4 linked regions of the Schizosaccharomyces pombe genome follow. Changing the gene in region 1 together with any one later gene gives a genetic interaction. Each region holds a gene or a part of one and is shown on either strand. Other genes may lie near its edges. The genes, in order: pof9, SPOM_SPAPB1A10.08, arg11 and atg20.

Region 1 (3,990 bases):
TTTCTCGACACCTGGATCTGTAAACAAAACCCCCAAGTTAGGGTCGCCAGAAAAAAATGGGGTGGTTAGGAATATTACAAACCACCAACGCAAACGACAAATAGAGAGCAAGAGCCCAACAAATTTTGACCACCGAGGATTTAATATGAAAATCGGTAACCTTCCTTACAGTCCAAATCAATTAAAAAAAATAATAATGTTTGGTAAAAACTCGTCGTAGTAGCACAGTAACTTAATTCACAGGGGTCAGGAATATAAATTGGTCAATGTGTGTACTTTATGTAATTGCGATACAGGAAGAAGGAAAAAAAATTTTCTCACTTATTTAATCACCGTTGTGTTTTCCTTGTGCTGCTTTTTTTTATAATTGGCTTACCTAGAGGAATTAGTAAAAATAGAGATAAATTCGGAAGTCCGAGGTGGCCGAGATATTTATTTATTTCACTTACTTAGCGGACAAAATAAAATCCTTCTCTAGTGCGCACGCGGAAATTAGCTTACCAAGCAAAGTTGATCACTATTTCACCTAGCCGTCCCTTTCCAAAGTCCGAGTCGCAGGGGCAGCTAAAAAGCGCAACGCTGGAACTCTGGATGGTCGGATGATAGAAAAAGTTGTAATTGGAGGCACATTGACTTCGGGTAAAACAGATTCCGAAATGGCGAGAGCAGCACTTTGCCATCCGCCGGCTGCAACTGAATAGCAAGTTCCTGAAAAGTGAATTTGATGTGGAATGGAAACGATGTTGCGTGCGGTGCGTGGATCAGAAACAATGCTGGGATCAGATGTCTGTTCTTGCAAATGAAGAGAACCCAAACCTAAACACCCACAATAACGTAATTCAACACCCCACGACCATATGGAATGATCGCTTGTTAAGTAAAGATGATGATGATCGCCATGCGCCAATTGCTTAATTCCTCGGTTCTGGAGAAAGTCGTGGATAACCGGGTCATCATCGACCTGCTTGGTATTAGCATGACCCATGTAAACAGTATTGCCATCGTCCGATAAACATGTGAAAGTTTCAAAGCTGCCTGCTAAATGCCAACCTTGATGGGGGTCGTGCGAAGCGAACCTCTTCAATTCTCTTCCTAGCGTGTGTTGTGTAGCTTGGTCCAGGTCTAAACGAAACACGGCGCCTTTTTTCTGAGGTGATGCGACAGTATACACTAGGAATCCTGCGCAGTGAACATAATCGTTCAGCACGAATTCCTTCATCGATGCCTCTGGCTGGAAAAGTTGCGCTTCACTTTCTCGTCCAGTGTGCCAGACAAGAAAGCCAATGCCCGGCACATACGCCGAATGCGAGTCCCAACCTGATTTAAAATTAGCAATTCTTCCGCGATAGGCTGATAGCATATTTTGTTCATCTGTCAAGCAAATTCGTGTTTTTAGAGATACTTGATACAAGTGTCCCGTCTCACCGAGTGCAAGACAAAACTCTCGACCAGCATGGATTTTCACAATTGGCTCTAAATCTCTCATCAATTCGGGCCCAACATTGTTTGGTACCCCCGTAACATATAAATTTCCGTTTTCATTTAATAAATACATCCCATAACCTCTAAATTCCGCATAGGGAATAGTTAGTCATTGTAGTGCAGTCAAATAAATTCCTGTATCTATGCGCTTACCCAACTTGAACCTGAATAGTAGAACGAACGTCCTTCCCAGTCAATGCACCAGGACGATCTCGAGGATACTGATTTGTATTGACGACGCGGCCCAAATAGTTTCTTATCTGTTGCCCCCATGAGTAAGCGTATCCTCGGTCTTTCCATACAGCATAGGGTCTTTTGTAATTATCATCAACAACTGGGACTACATTGGTGAGACCTTGGACCCGTGCACAAAATCGATGCCAAATTGTTTTGTCGTCAAAAACATACGAAAGTGACTTGCATGTTTCTGACAAATGAACTATATCTTTATAATCAAGATATGTACTAATTTCTAGCAATATATCGTAAGAAAGCTCCAGGAATGGTGATTTAGCCATAATGAATCTCGCATGGGTAGTAGTATATGAATACCTCTGAATATATACAAGGGAAACGGTGTTGAAATACGTCAAAAGCACATGTTTTCTGCAACTCTTAATAACTAGATACAATTGTATTATTTACAATTAATAAATGATAATAAAGAAAGGTCTATGAAACGAAGGTGTAGTCATTGCACGAATCAATTTCAAAGTCTATCAGCATAACGAAGCAGATTTAAGAGTAAATGATCGGCTTTATAAAAACCAATTGAGTAATTCTTGTCTGTTTTAAAGAAGAAAGCTTCTGAACTGCCCCTTTTTTTTTAAGCATTCATTGCACACCCTTTCCAATGAAGCATTGATCATACCAAAATTGTAAATTAAGGAAAAAGAAAAATAAGAGTATCAAAAATAAAGAAGTAGGGTATATAAAAGACGGCTCCTACTACAGAAAAAAAGACCACGCGCACAAGTAAAATATTGCTTTATAAAAACCAAGCCACAGTAGCTCAGAGTTCTTGACAGCGCCTTGCGATTGAAAAATTCTTGGAAATTCTAAATTAATTTTTGTTTTCCAATAGCTTTTTTTGTTGTTGCTCATCAATACCCAAGAGGTAAAGAGCGTTTTGCAAAGATGGAAGATTGATTTTCGAATCAGCCTAATTAAAAAAAAAAATCGAGTTAGTAAGATCATTAAAAACATAAATTTGTAAAAAAATTTCGAACATACCAATAATTGAACTTTGGGTTTAGCTTTGAACGCAATTCCTAAACCGGATTCGGCCATCATGACCAAATCGTTAGCTCCGTCCCCAACAGCCATCGTTTCGAGCTTATTTAAACCCAACTCTTCCCTCTTTTCACGCAAAATGGAAGCTTTTCGTTGTCCATCTACAATTGCACCTTGAACTTTTCCAGTGAGGAATTTACCATCATCGGAAAATTCAAGTACATTGGCATATGCATAGTCCAAGTCCAGTTGTCCCTTGACATATTCAGCCATTGGAACAAATCCACCACTAGCGACAACAAGAGTCGCACCCATTTGCTTAAGGCAATGACAAAGCTGTTTAGCTCCTGGAGTGAAAGTAATTTTGCCAATGACTTTATTTATGACATCGACGCTCAACCCTTGTAGTAGAGAAACGCGACGACGAAGTGATTCTTGAAAGTCAATTTCCCCATTCATTGCAAGAGATGTAATCGTAGCAACCTCTTTCTGGATGCCTGCTTCTGCCGCGAGCTCGTCAATACACTCTTGTTGAATCAACGTCGAGTCCATGTCAAATACTACAAGCTTCTTTTTAGTGGAAAATGTTGCTTCACTCAAGCAATTACAGTCTACATTCTCAGTAGCAGAAATGCGGTTACAAGCGTCTTTAGCATCTTCAAACGTTCCTTTAAGTTGGCCTGATACTAAAGTCCACTGTTCCCCCAGAGAACGAGTCTTCCCATCTCTAAACAAGGAGGAAATCTGTTCAAGCACATTTGGACGATTTGAGGAAACAACTATGGCTGCGTTGACCATGCTTATTAAAAGGTATGAGTGGGTTTGCTAAATTTTCTAAGTTGAAAAGCGTTGTTTTCGGCAAGTCCCATTTACTAATTACTCGGCTATTGATTAAGCTTAACGTTAAACGACAACAAGTACTAGGTCAATTTAAGTTATTTGAAAATCTCAAACAAGCTTATTTTTTGTTATTGTTTACAAATTTATCATTATCTTCAAAATGCTGTATAAATTGTGAAGTTGGTAAAGTGGTGCCTAAACTCCGTTTTCAAACACAGGTTAATAAGCAAATATTTTTTTTATACATTAAAGCAATAAAGCAAGAAATCATAACTAAGAAGATGTTTGGAAATATTGCAATATATCAGGGCAAATATTCCAAAAATGAGAGCCTACCATAAAGTAGAGAGTGAGATATTTGTAAAGTGAAAAAGCACTAAAAAAATATTTGGCAATGTAATAATTGTTCTCTTTCATTCCTAAAAGGTTATACAC
Region 2 (4,752 bases), on another chromosome or scaffold:
CATTGAACCGGTTGATGTAAATGAGCTCAATAAAACGATGTTTGAAATTCAATTAATAGAATATAAAGGAAGATATGAAAACTGTTAAGATGTTGATATATTATAACATAACAAGCAGTACAAGGAATTAACCTTGCATAAAAGCTTGGCACAAAAATGGTGGTTGGATATGGCTTGGCCTGCGAAAGTAACTCAGCATGCGCTTATATTCCAAAGAAAGCAAATAGATTTCAATGTCAGCACTGTATAAACGTTATTCAGCTCCTTTTAGTATAAACAAAATACTTAGAATTGTAAGTTGAAGAATATTTATGTGCCTGAAATATACCAATGTAAGGAAGCACATAAAGTTCTACAAACTGGTATCTTTTGCTCTACCTAAAATATGATACAAGAAAATTCAAATACTGCTTAAAAGGATACAAAGGCTTACTTTTTAAGTCTTATCGTAATCAATATAATTAGACTTATGCATACAAAATATCATCTAAGAGAGAAAAGCATTCATGATTTGTTCAATTCTTTTATTTGCTCATATTCAAAGACAGGATCTAGGACTATGGGAGAATTATTTTATGTAATATTAACCGCAATTGGGATTCAACCCAGTATCGCGAAACCCATTTCCTTTAAAAAAAAAATCATATACAACAAAAAGAAACAATTGTGAGTCGATTGTCCATAAAGACAGTAGGGATAAAAAAGTATTGGGTGAGAAAAAAATGAAAATAAATATAACCAGCTTGGAAGAATGCAAATGTATATAAGTCATGCGTTAAATTTTTACAATTCAACATGCAAAGGGCTAGTGGAGAAGGTAACGGCAGGCTTTGGGAGGTAAATTAACTGGGCTCGGCCAGCAGTGTTTGCTGATAGCTTTCCAGCTCGTCGCATTTGAGCTTCTAAAACAAATACTCGGAAAAAATTAGGATTTAATCGAGGACGTCTGATTTCAGGTTTCACACTTCGCTTTTCCCAGGGTTGAAGCGGGGTGTACAAAGTGAAATTGGCATCTGGCGCACAATCCTCCATCAACCAATCATCCTGAAAAAGCTTGAAATTTTGACAAAGCAAACCATTTGTCAGGTTGCTTTCGCCATGCGAAGATGAGAGATTTAAAATGGAGGCACTTGGATCCAAATGCACTTCTGGCTTGTGAAATACACGTCTGATGATATTACGAGATAGCGACATTATTTTATGCTGTAAAGAAGCTCGAGACTTATTTAAAGATGCTAAAGATGTTTTTTTGGACAACCTAGATGAGTAGAAATTAGATGATAAACTAGAGCCACTCCTATTGCAGGCGGTCAAGTTAGAGGAAGCATCCTTTGATTGTTCCAAAAAAGAGGATTGCTCCTCAAGACTTTTAGAAAGTGGATGGTTATGCTCTACGGGCTCCATAACTATGATATTGTTAGCAACGATGAATAAATAAAAGATAAGAGAAAAGGTTGAAAAATCTTAAAAGAACATACATTGACCTCTTAAACGAGGAACAGATTTGGATTTTTTTAAGTTGTTAATATTCAAGTAAATATCAAGGCTATTTGCGTTTACGAGGTTACAAGAGGAAGAGCTGGGAGTTGCAGGATTTGGCCCCGAATAGTAAGAGTAAGAAGCGACTGAAGACGTTTCCGAAGCAGAGTAGGAGGAGTATTCAGGGAATGAATTACACGAAAAATTCCACAAACAGTCGTAAGAATGAGAGTTGGTAGAAGCAGAACACTCGACAGGTGTAGAAAGAAGAAAGCAGTAATCACCTCTATTAACATCATCATTGTGTAATTTTTTGGACGAAGACAAAAAACGATCTAATTGTGATTTAAGAGTTTTTTTATTAGATAGAGTACTCAAGCGATGTGAAATTTTTCTATAACGATTGGGAACAGGGATCTTGGTTTCACTCAGCAACTGAAAAACGGCGTCTTGCTTTGATGCACAAGAATGGGTATCCTGAGACTGATAAATTAAATCCATCTCACTAGCTTGAGAGCTGCAAAGATTATGATCCCAACATTCGCATTGACAAGTTACCGGAGCTACTTCTGTGAGTGCTTTAGAGAAGCCAATTTCCAATGGTCTTAATTCCATCCGAGTCATCATAGAAAGAAATGTAAAAAGAAAGAAAATATAGCGCCTATATATAAAGCCAATTGATCAAATCCTACCGGTTTCTAATTGCAAAGCAGTTCATAAAGTGAATTAGAAGCTACAATGTTGGAAAGCTATACGACCTTCGAGCTTTCTAAAAATACAACAAACAAACGTTAAAGCCTTCAAAAGACGAATAAAAGGCTCAATTGCTTCTAGTTCTCGTTTTACAGCAAAAGAATGTGAAAACTGATTATCGAATGAAGGCAATTAAATTACACACGTTCACGGGTGATGAAACTTCAGCAGGCTAAAAGCACTAGCCAAAATTCCTGGCTTTTACAAGCAAAGGAATGATTACTGTTGAAAAATAAACCCAATTTTTACAAAAAAACAGCAATCAAGGAATTGTGAAGTAGGGATGGTAAATAGGGAAAGCAAGGAGAATTGCTGATTTTAAAGACCGGAAGAGACAAGTGGTTGCTTGTTTACCGTAATATTACTCCTCTATAGGCGAGAGGATGAATGCCGAAGTCCGGATAAAATTCCGCGGGGCTTGGGTATTGTTGACTTTGCTAGAAATAACCAAAGTATTTTCCTCCTTCACCAGCGTTGCTTATACGTTTTTACGAAGTCTAACAGCAGCGGCAGTGACTGGTTTTGCGCAGCCACGGATGAATGTATTAAGGATAAAGAAAGGACAAAGTGTGGTATAAGTAAAAATGGGATCTATAGGAATAATGATGATGAGATGCGATGAATGATTTGATATCCAAATGTGACTGAGGAAGACCTATACAGAGACGTATGAGAAGATATTTCGGATTTCAAAATCACTTTCTGAATAGCTTTCTTTAAAGAACGAGTCGGAGCTCACCTGTATTCCCAATGGCAAACTTGTATATGCTCTTTGCTGTTTCTCTCAAATTCCCAGTTTGCAGATCCGTATTTACAAGGGCAATTCGGAACTTTGTATTGTTGATATTTGGCAACGCTAGGTTAATTACTAAGGCTTGAATTATCGTTGTTTGTATTAGTAATACGAAGGGTTATGTGACAAACAGTATATGAACAATATGAGTTTTTATTTATGATTTGTATGCTTTCAAAAAAGAAAAAGGATACTGAATATCTTTTCTAAGTAATTGAAATACATTTGAAAATTTTATCGCTATTACATTCTCTCCCCTTCATAGCCGAGTAGTCAGTGTGATAAACGTAAAATAGATTTAAATTAAAAGATAGTCATTTCCCTTACACATTCCGTTACATCAACCGCATACGGATTGGGAAAAGCATATTTCTTTGTTCAGCTAATGGAGGAAAGTCGAGATTTTTTCGTACTAGTAAAATTTCCTCCTATCCAAAACTTAGCATATTTCGTTACTCACTAGTTCTGATGGTAAAGTCACAAGAAAATGGAAGCAAAATTTGTGAAATTAAATTTTCGGCCATCAAATAGGAAAAAGAGCGCATTGGGTCAGTAGGAAAAAAAATTAAAAAAATTACACACACATATACACATAAATGAAGATTGACTTAGTCGGTATCACATTTTGATCAATATCATTTGACACAAAAATTTCATGAAACATATTATTCAATTTGTCACGATGTCTTTAGCTATTTTTTTTTTAACTTGTTTTATTTTACTTGGTTTTAGTGAGATTTTCTTTAGGGCTTTGCTATGTTGAATAGTATACTTACCGGCAAGTGTTCCTAAGCCGAACTTTCCGGCTATAACACGTTAGAGAAGGGTCTGTCAAATCAATAGTAAAGTCCAATCTGCCAAATAAGTGCACGATAATAAGGTTGCAAGTAAATTTTTACCCGATGTAAAACTTCTAATTATTTTGCACTATCAACATCCACGGAACTCACGTGCCTTGCAATCCATGGAGCGAGTCTTACTATCTGTCCATATACAAATATATAATTCATTAAAGAATAAATTAGAACAGCTTTTACATCAGATAAAACGGTGCGTATTCAAATTTATTGCAATCCATCAAGATGCTTAATACCATATAATTGGCTTTTATTTAGCACGTAAAAAATTTTTTCAGTACTTTAACACTACACTGAATAGATTTTAGGGAGTTCTAAAGCAATATAGCAATTCACACAATTAAGTTATAATGTATTACCATATTAAGCGTTGGTAAGCAAAGTAGCGTCGTACGTCTGCGTGTTATGGTTCTACACCCAGAACAAATAGTATAACTACGATATGTGTACATGTATATGAGAAAGTGATATTTAAGGAGTTTACAATTCTTTCTTCCTCTATTATTTTTATCTTTCAAATTATTATTTGTTAATTTTACAAATTTGCTACTATTCTGCTAATTGCTACTTTTTAACCTATTCAGGCATTTGCTGTCGTTGACGAAATTTCTTTACCTGAATATTTTTCTTTGATCAACTGTATTCCGCTTTATATATAAAGATATATCCTAAACGCAATTGAGATATGGGTGCGGTTTTATCTATACCTTTAGCTCTTGCCTCTTCTCTTTCGGGAGTAGTAGGTATTGCTAGCAGTTTTCTTGTTACTTCTGTCCTTAGTTTGACTAATTCCATACAAAGCAATGTTGGAGCGGTGATTAGTTATGCCGTTTTGTACTTTGTAAATTCGTTGCTTTCATGGTGCATGCT
Region 3 (5,375 bases), on another chromosome or scaffold:
AAAAGCTGCCATTTGTCTTCAATGGTGGGAACAGGGTCTGCAAGCTTTTTGCCCTTATAAACAGGTTTAAAGAGGGCTCCAAAACTCTCATCCTTCCCAATTCCACCTTTATTTATTTTGGGTTGGCTTTTTTGAGGGTCTCCGGCAGTATTTACCCCCATCGAACTCACTTAGTTGATAATGGCGGACGGTAGCAAAATTCCTCCCCAAAAATATACTTATGGAGGAAGCGTTAGTAATGCAAGGATAGAGATTTCTTATTACTTTGGGCTTATTTTTTAAGTAACATATATAATTTTAAATAAAGAAATAAAACTTATACGCAATTAAGATTATTGAAGCTTAACTATTTACCACTTTATTCTACGTACAAAAATTATTTCGTTGATGAAAATCTATACCATAGAAAGCAACTTCAAATCTGTTTATATAAGTTTTGAAGAGTCTGCGACGCACAGACAGAGGAATTTTGTATAACTGAACAAGAACTAAATTAAAATGTGTGGAAACTTAAGATGGTACTCGTACGCGACTTACTGCTGGCTATTTAATAGCAAGGATTAATGCATTTAGTTCAAAATATTTGTAACAAAAAAATATCCAAATGGTACACAGAAAGAATAAAAATAACAAAAGAATGGGCTACAAAAAATATAATCAATCCAAATGGATACCGGCATATTCATCGTAACCACAGGACAGATTGAGATTCTGGAGAGCTTGAGTAGCAGCACCTTTAAGTAAATTGTCGATAGTAACTACAATGACTGCACGCTTTCCAGAAGAGTGCACACCAAAACCACCAACTGAAACATGATGCTTGTGTGCGTTGTCCTTGACCAAAGGTACATCTCCTTGAACATGAATTAAAGGCTCACCATTATAACGGTCTTGGTATAAGTTACGAAGCTCACGGGAAGTTATACTTTTCTTTAACGGAACATTAATAGTTAAAGTAATTCCTTGGAACCATTGAGCAACGTGAGGAATAAAGGCGACAGGTTGCTTTAAACGATAAGAAATTTCACGTTCATGGATGTGATCAGTTAATGAGTAAGGTATCAAATTGTTTGTCAATACATTCAAGTCATTCTTCGGAGAGGGCTTAGTGCCAGCCCCAGAATAACCAGATACACCAAAAATAGAGGGCTGGCCGTCAATCAAAGAGAGTATGGGAGTTAAACCGACTTGCGATCCAGTAGCGTAACAACCAGGATTGGAAATACGTTTCGAGTTACGCAAAGCTTCACGGTCATTTAGTTCAGGAAGACCGTACTGCCACGAGGGCTCAAAACGGTAGTCCGCACTTAAATCAACAATGACACTTTTACCATTTGCAGACGTTAAAGCATCGACATAAGGTTTGCATACACCGTTGGGTAGGGCCATGACCCAAGCATCAACCGCTCCCTCTTCCTCTAATTTTTTAACATCATCTGTGGACAAGTTGACATACTGAATTTCTTTCTTAGTGTAGCCAGGAAGTTTGGTGCCTTCCAACTCACGAGAAGAAACATGAGATAATTCGAGATAAGGATGAGTGTTAATCAATCCAATCAAGTTCTTTCCGGTATAACCACGGGCTCCAAGGAGAACGACTTTTGCTGGCTTCGATGAGACCGCCTTCAAAGGTTTTTGGGTCTTCTGAGCCTCAGCAGAAAAAAATCGTTTTCCACCCTTTAAAAACAAAGAACGATTCATTTTTTTGTTTTTTGAAAATAAAGAACTAGTTGAGTAACTTCGTTTTTGATTGATCTGTGAAGAGGAAGGGTTGTTGGTGGTAGATGAAGCAGTAGGGGGTTTAGTGGATTGGGTCTGAATGATAGCATCGGCAAATGGCTTGTCAGACTGAATGAACTTGGAGATTTTATTCAAATCTTTTACACCGTACCAAAAGTAGTAAAAATTATTAGCAAACAAAGTACCTTCGCTTTTAGAGAAGAACCATTCCAGATTCTTGGCTGAAGGTTGAAGACGCCATAGCAAAGAAGGGAAGTCTGCTTTTAATGTTGTTAATATGCTATCAACAACATTGTTTAACCAATTATTGTCGGCGGCACCAAAAGCTAAGAGTACTGGCAAGGATGAGTCGGTGGTGTCGACAATAGCAACAGATTCATTGAAAGAGTCACTATAAATACGAAGTTTTCTGTCTTTCAGAGTATCCTTGAACTGTTTCAAGCTTTCACTAGGTGCGGCTAAAGAATTTTTTTGAATGATCAAATTTTCTAGAGCAGCGTCTGGAATGCTATCCAACGAGTCATGTTTGTTGATGACAAAACCGCGACTAATCAAAGTACCAGCGCCAGATTCCGTAAAAAGCTCTTTTTGCAAATCCTTCGTACTAATAATGGCTACGGAAGATGTACGGGGAAGAGTATCAAGTAACTCTTTGATTTCTTTGATTTTGAGCTTCGTACCATACTTGACCCATGGTTGCTTCATGAGGCCATCGTACTCCCTATCCAAATAGATGCTGCTAATTTTTTTCTTTGTTTCACCGTTGATAAGTCCACCTTTTTCATTGAGATAGACCACCTTTAGAGGCTTCAATACGCGAGCAAGCTCACCAGCAGTAATGTCGGCGTTGACATTCAACAATTGACCAGAAGCAGTTTCGGCCATAGACGTAAGAATAGGGAGGGTTCCAGCACGAATACTGTGTTCAATAGGAGCTTTGTTTACCTTGACAATCTTGCCAACATACTTGTATTTTTCTTTGTCGAGATACTCTGCCTGAAATACACCACCTGTAATGGGACGAGCACGAGTTCCCAACTTTTCCAAAGCATCTACAAGTTTCGCATTTTCCTCTAAGAAAACTTTACGAGCTACAGAAAGAGTCTCGGCATCGGTGATTCGAATACCATCGCTATACTCGGGTTCAACATTTCTGCTGGCAAGAATTTTGTTTAATTGGGGACCAGCGCCATGCACAACGATGGGATAAAGACCCACATGATTCAAAAAGGCAAGACTTTGTGCCAATGTGTCTAATTCGTCGGTGATAATGGCACCACCAACCTTGATAATAGCGAAACGTTGAGCTTCGAAGGAAGTAAAGTATCGTAGGTATTGCTCAACTTCACGACGGCTTCCGATGGAGGAAAGAATTCTAATGATGGCATCACGATCTTGTTCAATTGGTTTCGCGAGTGGGTTTAACGGTTGTTGTTGACCCGGGGCAAAACTGCCTTGAAAACGTTTGCTTGCAATGACTGATGCATTGGAACATAGTAAGCTCCTTTTCGTACAGTGTTTCGCTCCATTCCGTACAAGACCGGACTTGACAATTTGTTGCAATTCAATAAGCATTGCCAAATTCTAGTGATATTCTATGATTTACTGTAGTTGGTAGAAGGCAGTTTGGTTGGTTTCAAAATTGGAAAATCATTTGCTTCGTAAACGTAGCTATAATTCGTTAAAATTTGATTGCTGTATCTAGGGATTTGCTCTGGAGATAATCACTCAAAAAGATGAGATCGATAATGTTACTTGTTGGCTGAAAATTACATCGGAAACCAACAGTTTACATGAAAGTGCTGCAAACGTGAGACATGGACATTTAATGAATTAAAGCTATATAAATGACACTGTAAAAGCAACTCATTTGCCGACAATGAATCTATTTGTATATACATTATTTAATACTAGTCCTAACTGACACAGTACAATATTCATTATTTCTATGCAAGCCAGTTCAATATCTTGATTTATACATGAAAGCATTCTTTTGAAACAATATTTTGTTTTCTATTTGATTTCGCGTTGAATAGTCCCAATGACCCTGATGAGACAAAAGCACTTATCATAAAATTTATTATCTAAGATAATCTCGTTAAAAAAAAAAAAAAAAAAAAAAAAAAAAAAAATTTGGCAAGAAGCCCTTCTCTTTCGTTAAAACTTGTTTCGCTTTATGCAATACTGTAAGTGTAAGCTTGTAATATAGCGAATCTGTGAACTCATTGTTCATTTCATGGTAGTTGTTGATTTCACAAGCATGCTGAGTTATCAATATAGTAACACAATTGGTTTTATTTCAGCTCGCTTGAATATAGTGTCAAGAGATAATTGAATAAACAAAAAAAATAACTACACGTTTTTTAGATACATTTTATTTACAATGTATTGGTTCTTTAAAGAATGGGTGGTAAATAAAAAAAATATTACAAGGTCGAAAAAAATTCATCCCTTTTCATTAGTTCTATAATTAAATGCTAAACCCATGAATATTCTTTTACTGCTAATCAATTAACGATTTTGGTATTTAAAAGCTATTGCTGATAAGTATTCTGACGTTCTGTATCAATATTACCATGAATAACATAAGAAAAAGAAAGGAAATAGAATGTTTATGAGTAGTTTTTAATTTTTGACTTGTTTTATCATATTTCATCAACGTACTAGCTTGTTTGCAACTGAACTCTAGTGTACGATAATGTAAAAATTTTCCATCTCGTCGAAAATCCGCATACGATATATTACGGCGCCAATCTCGCAGTCTGAGAGAGAACTAGATATCGGCTATATGCAATCTCACCCTGAATATCTAAGAAATTACCAGTAACTTGTGGGTTCCTTGTAGTCGACTACAAAAACCGTATTTTTGATATATTTAGTCGAGAAGAATTATTCAGTTTGCAATTGAAAATGTCTTTCAAAAAATTTCCTCGTCATTTACTATCCATTCGTGATCTTAGTCGCGGAGAGATTGTAAAGTTGATCGATCGGTCTTCTGAAATTAAACAAGCTTATAAGCAGAATTTTCAGAATCGCCGTTCTGTTCAAATGAGTGGTTTGTCGTCTCAGAATGTCGCCATGATCTTCAGTAAGCGTAGCACTCGTACTCGTGTATCAGTCGAAAGTGCTGTCAGTTGCCTTGGCGGCAATGCCATGTTTTTAGGTAAAGATGATATCCAATTAGGAGTGAATGAGTCTTTATACGATACTTCAAAAGTTATATCAAGTATGGTTTCTGGTATTGTTGCTCGCGTAAACAAATATTCAGATGTTGCTACGCTCGCTAAACATGCCTCTTGTCCTGTTATTAATGGTCTTTGTGACACGTTTCATCCTCTCCAGGCGTTAGCAGATTTACTCACTATTAAGGAAACTTTCAAAAGCTTTGACGGTTTAAAAGTTGCATGGGTAGGTGATGCCAATAACGTTTTACATGATTTGATGATTGCAAATGCCAAGGTTGGTATTCATACTAGCGTTGCTAAGCCCAAGGACGTCAACGTTCGCGACGATATTTTATCAATCGTTAACGAAGCTGCGAACGAAAACGGTTCTACTTTTGAAATTGTTAACGACCCCAAGGTTGCTGTTAAAAATGCTGATATCGTCGTTACCGACACTTGGATTTCTATGGG
Region 4 (4,707 bases), on another chromosome or scaffold:
CTCGGGGACGTGTTCGTGTTGATTTAGAGGTGGATTTTGAATTTGCAAGCAAACTCCATGGCATGATGAGCAAGTTTGTTGGATCTTCTGTAGCTTCTGAAATCATTCAAGGATTCGTCCAACAGGCTAAAATAAAGCATAAGCTAGAATCAGAAAATGAGAAATAATTACAATGATCCTGCATACAAAGGGGCTATGCCGCTATTCTTTCCATCTCAGCGTTTTTCCATCGTCTCTCTTTCAACCAAAGAAGGATATATTTTTATAAAAGGTTTCTTTTAGGAAATCATGGCTTCAGTAAGCTAAATTTTGGATCCTTCTCTTCACCTTATGTATTTATTTTATTTCATTTTTTTGGATACTCGCCAATATCATGGTATAGTTTGCTTTACTGCAATTTTTTTGATGCACAACAAAAAACTTGGTAAATTATTTCTCTACTATTAAATCAAGAGCTTAGGAGGAATTCTCATTTCTTAAAGAAACTTTACTTTGACGAAACTGTATTTTTTTTTTTGTTTTAACAATATGTCTTGAATATGCCTTCCTTTTCTTGAGTCACTGATAACCAAATATATATAATTATAGGGGTGTCTCTCTTTCTATTTAGTGCTGAAATATTGCGGATGAGCTTTGCCTCTAAAGTTGATAACCAGAGATCAGGAGTCCTTGAAGGTCAACTGTTTACAAAATTATCCTTCCTTGCTTTTGAATAGAAGGTGAAATTGGTTATGGAATGCTTCATGAAGATTTGCATTCAAAATGCATCCAGAACAATCACAAGTGTTATTTAAAAGTAAAGAATCCCTGAAGGAAAGAAAAAGTGATCTATGATGATCGTTGTTAAAAAGTCTATCAAATTTGGTCTACTGAGATATATCTAGGGAAAGCAAAATCATTTAAGTAAGACAATTCATGAAATACCCGGAGCACCTTTATAGTCGACTTTTCTTTCGATGATAAACATGACATGATTTCCATTATAGCTACAGAAACGAATTTTATGAAAAACAATCTTGTGTTTACCAACATTTTAATATCGTGCTCTATTAAACTGTGCAATATGCAAATACGGTGTTTGCCGATTTGCATTAACGGGAAGTATTTCTCCAGTAAATAAATGAAGCAAAGTGTTTTTATGTAAAATCCTTTTATCGCTTTTAACTTATAAGGATTTACTTAGTATATAAAGTTGCTGAATGGAGCCTTAAAAGTTCTAGCTGTTTTTTCGTGAAATAAACTATAGCATCACCATTCCATAGGTCCATTAGAAGTTGTGGAAATTATCCATGAGCATTTTTATATAGTGAAATTAGAATAATTTTTATCATTGAAAATAAATTATTAATTTAGTTCATTTCGAGGATGAAAACAAGTTTTATTATAATATACCTCTTATTTATACCGCATTGTTTACATCGCACGATATAACCAAACGAATCCAGTTAACGATAGCTACAACAGCCATCGGTATTAAACTATAGTGATTTGATAAGATGTTTCGAAATATATACTGGATAATATAATCACTGTCCGCTATCATAACCTTAAAAAGAAATCTCCTCTACAACTGCATTACTTGTTTACTGTGATAGTACTAAGAAATTCTCCACGTAAACCAAAATCTATTTTTTTTTCGAAATCTCGTATTTTATATACATAGGTTTCCCCTGTCATTTTAAAGTTCTGATTGTTTCTTTGACCTTATGGAAACCCATTTTACAATGCATTCAGTATAACGCTATCTAATCCATTCTCATATACAGTATAACGTAGTTATAAGTATATTGATTTGCGATCTCTATCATATTACAACGAAATACAATCCAGTCTGCAAAGCCATGACTTATATGACGAACTAGCTACATTTCTTTCTCCATTAAATCGATTAAAGAAGTATGGCACAAGACGATTCTTACGAAGAGAAACCTGAAGTTATATCCAGCGACTCGGGAGGAAGTGGTTATTCAACTGAAATCCAGATCGTCGGTACAGTAACTTCCTCGGACGGTTCGTATGTTGAGTATGAAATTGTACACCAGGTATGTGGCTTGAGATCCTTGGTATCTATGAGTTTAGCTGCTAATTTTTATACTGTAGAAGCGTTCCGTTTGGCGGAGATATTCGGATTTTGAGTCCTTGGTTAAGTTGATGCGTCGGCAGTATCCCGCTGCAATTGTTCCTCCTATACCGGGAAAACAATCACTTTGTAAGTTTTCCAATATATTTAGATATAATATCTTTCATCGCGTTTTTTCATTTTCTTTTCAAACGTTTATTAACATGGGCTGTGTGCAATTCATTGTACACACATGCTCCGCTGTTTAGTAAGTTATGCCAAACATCCACGAAAAGCTAAAAGTGATGCTGAATTCTTAAATTTTCGCTCCAGGATGCTAGAATTGTTTCTTCGTCAGTGTCTTTTGCATCCATGCATTCGTTCCAATCCTATTTTCGATAAGTTTATTCATAGCACTGTTTCTTGGCACGTGACTTTATCATCTTTAGATTTACCAAAGGATTCAAATACTGATCCACTCCGCCTTCCTCCTATTGCTACTGAGCATGACCCATTCGCTCATTTGCGCTCTTCCATGCCACTTGTAATGGCCAACTCATTAAGTCCCCCTTCGTCTCGCGCATTAAAGCCAATCCATTCCTTATCTAATCCTTCAACTGCTTCGAGTTTAGAACCTTCTTCTCCTTTGGGCTCTGAGGATGAATGTCATCCCCCAACAAGCGATATGCAACCTACGCATGAATTGAATGAAAGTCCTTCTACCCCAACGGCACCAGACTTTCCACATTACAATAGCTCACCTTCGGAGTTATCTCCCACACAGCGTCGTTCCAGCATTTCTAATGGTAAAGACGCACCCTCTCCAGTACTCAAAGATTTGACTTCCTATACTCAAGAAGTGATTGTTTGTCGGAAATTCCTTCATCATAGTCTGAGTCCTTCCATACATTCAACTTTATCTAGTATTTCTAAAATGGAGTCTTGCCTTTCAAAGTTAGGATCGGCATTTCACTCTTTGACTGCTCTCAATGAAATACAATTAGCAAATCATTTGCAAGTGATTGCTAATGCCTTTGAATTCAGCGGAATGTACGCCAAGGAATTCGAACAAGAATTTAATTCCTCCGTCTATGAAAAAATGGTTCAGTCTATGCAGCTGGCGAAGTGTGCCGCAGATGCTCTTAAGTATAAGCAATTGAAGATACAACAGCGAGATTTTCTTCAAGACCAGCTCATCCACTCTAACACAATGTCTGCTACCGACTCTATGGTAGCTGCTTCACCCACGATACACCCGGCGACCAGATTGAATACTATTCAACGAGCAGTTGTCTCCCAAGCCAAAAAGGGTTACACAATTTTTGGTCGCTTACAAAACGTTTTACATGACTTTGTAGAAGGTGAAACCTCCATTAGCAAAGAAAGTCTCCAGCAGCATAAGAATACCATAGAGAATCAACTAGCGGCTGCAAATTGGGATTGTCAAAAAATTGACGAATTCATGGATGCAGAGCTTAAATTCTACAAAGAATGTCAGACGTCGCAGTGGGAAGAAATAATTAAATCTGTTCATGAATGTATCTACAAATGGGCACAAACAAATTTACAACGATGGTTGCGAACTCGTGAAGAACTCGAAAATTTATCGAAGGACATATAAGTACGTTGGGTAGGTTTGCTTATAATTGCATTCCGAGTCTTACATACTTTGTATTTTATTTTAATTTCTGCATACATCCTTTTTTATGTTTCTTTTTTACGATTTTGTTAATGACTAATAATACCACATGACAAGCCTTAACTATGAAAGTCATATTTCCCTTGGAAGATCTATCGCTTGGATAAATTTTTAAGGTCGAGTACATTTTATTAATGAAAAATTTATTTAATGCTATTATAGATTTAGAAATATTAATAATACTAAAGCATACAATGAAAGCTGTTCTTCTTTGTGAATATTCATTGTTCCTCCTCTTACCTTTTTATCAATATGTACCGACAAATCGTTTAAATCCTTTCATTTTTCTCTCTACCCTTTTTCTCTTTTTTTGTTAGTTAAAGTGTGCTCGAATAGAGCCATTTTACGAATTACTTGAATAAACAATTACTTAACAAGAACTTTAACCTTCTTTCCATATTGATCACGTACAAAAATACAATGTAATAAAAAGCTGTGGGATAAAAATGATACAAAAAAGTGATATTTATGTCAAAATATGAATGTACTGTTCAAATAAAAGGATTCCAACAAAACAAAATGTAAGAACCCGTATGTTTGTTCAGTAGTTTTATTCCTTCCCTTTGCGAAAAGGAGGTAGGATCAAGGATTCAGAGATATTACAAATGCGAGGAAAAAGAAACGCAGTCAATTCTTTTTGACAGAAGGGTGTTGATAGAATTGAATTTTTAGGAAAATCAAACGACATAAATGAGATGAATAAAACCAAAAGACATAAATCCATTGTCGGATTTACAAATTAGGGAAAAAAGGGTCCGCACAAGAGTGAGAGAAAATGAGTGTCATAAAAGGAACACCTAACTCACATTATCGTACAAATTTTATAACCAAAAGTTACAAAAGAATTTTTTAATTAAGTCGCTTAGTGAAAGAACGCTTTGCAAGGGTCCAAATGCCAGCTGCAGTGGCTACAAGCGAACTACTAATAGCCATAGCACGAAGTCCACGA

What was found.
Region 2: mutations in pof9 (region 1) and SPOM_SPAPB1A10.08 together harm fitness less than expected from each alone (positive genetic interaction), as found in Schizosaccharomyces pombe (one large-scale study listed by BioGRID).
Region 3: mutations in pof9 (region 1) and arg11 together harm fitness more than expected from each alone (negative genetic interaction), as found in Schizosaccharomyces pombe (one large-scale study listed by BioGRID).
Region 4: mutations in pof9 (region 1) and atg20 together harm fitness more than expected from each alone (negative genetic interaction), as found in Schizosaccharomyces pombe (one large-scale study listed by BioGRID).

Annotation. Positions count from the first base shown.
Region 1 is NC_003423.3:1,869,857-1,873,846, reverse strand, and holds pof9 (F-box protein Pof9), read right to left. Parts: upstream 2,015-3,990; 5' UTR 2,001-2,014; coding exon 1,636-2,000; exon of another isoform or gene 1,566-1,635; coding exon 527-1,565; downstream 1-526. Other genes in the region: phosphoserine phosphatase Ser2, read right to left, coding at 2,546-2,644, 2,716-3,513.
Region 2 is NC_003424.3:1,873,613-1,878,364, reverse strand, and holds SPOM_SPAPB1A10.08 (uncharacterized protein), read right to left. Parts: upstream 2,780-4,752; 5' UTR 2,107-2,779; coding exon 1,479-2,106; exon of another isoform or gene 1,407-1,478; coding exon 784-1,406; 3' UTR 501-783; downstream 1-500. Other genes in the region: antiparallel microtubule cross-linking factor Ase1, read right to left, coding at 1-3; SPOM_SPAPB1A10.07C (sphingolipid biosynthesis protein), read left to right, coding at 4,568-4,752. UniProt on the Schizosaccharomyces pombe protein: May have a role in meiosis and sporulation.
Region 3 is NC_003424.3:2,269,362-2,274,736, forward strand, and holds arg11 (N-acetyl-gamma-glutamyl-phosphate reductase/acetylglutamate kinase), read right to left. Parts: upstream 3,364-5,375; 5' UTR 3,316-3,363; coding exon 658-3,315; 3' UTR 547-657; downstream 1-546. Other genes in the region: DNA-directed RNA polymerase III complex subunit Rpc2, read right to left, coding at 1-161; ornithine carbamoyltransferase Arg3, read left to right, coding at 4,651-5,375.
Region 4 is NC_003421.2:881,494-886,200, forward strand, and holds atg20 (sorting nexin Atg20), read left to right. Parts: upstream 1-1,878; 5' UTR 1,879-1,898; coding exon 1,899-2,042; intron 2,043-2,100; coding exon 2,101-2,209; intron 2,210-2,328; coding exon 2,329-3,680; 3' UTR 3,681-4,195; downstream 4,196-4,707. Other genes in the region: ubiquinone-binding protein Coq10, read left to right, coding at 1-167; TIM23 translocase complex subunit Tim23, read right to left, coding at 4,608-4,707. UniProt on the Schizosaccharomyces pombe protein: Required for cytoplasm to vacuole transport (Cvt), pexophagy and mitophagy. Also involved in endoplasmic reticulum-specific autophagic process and is essential for the survival of cells subjected to severe ER stress.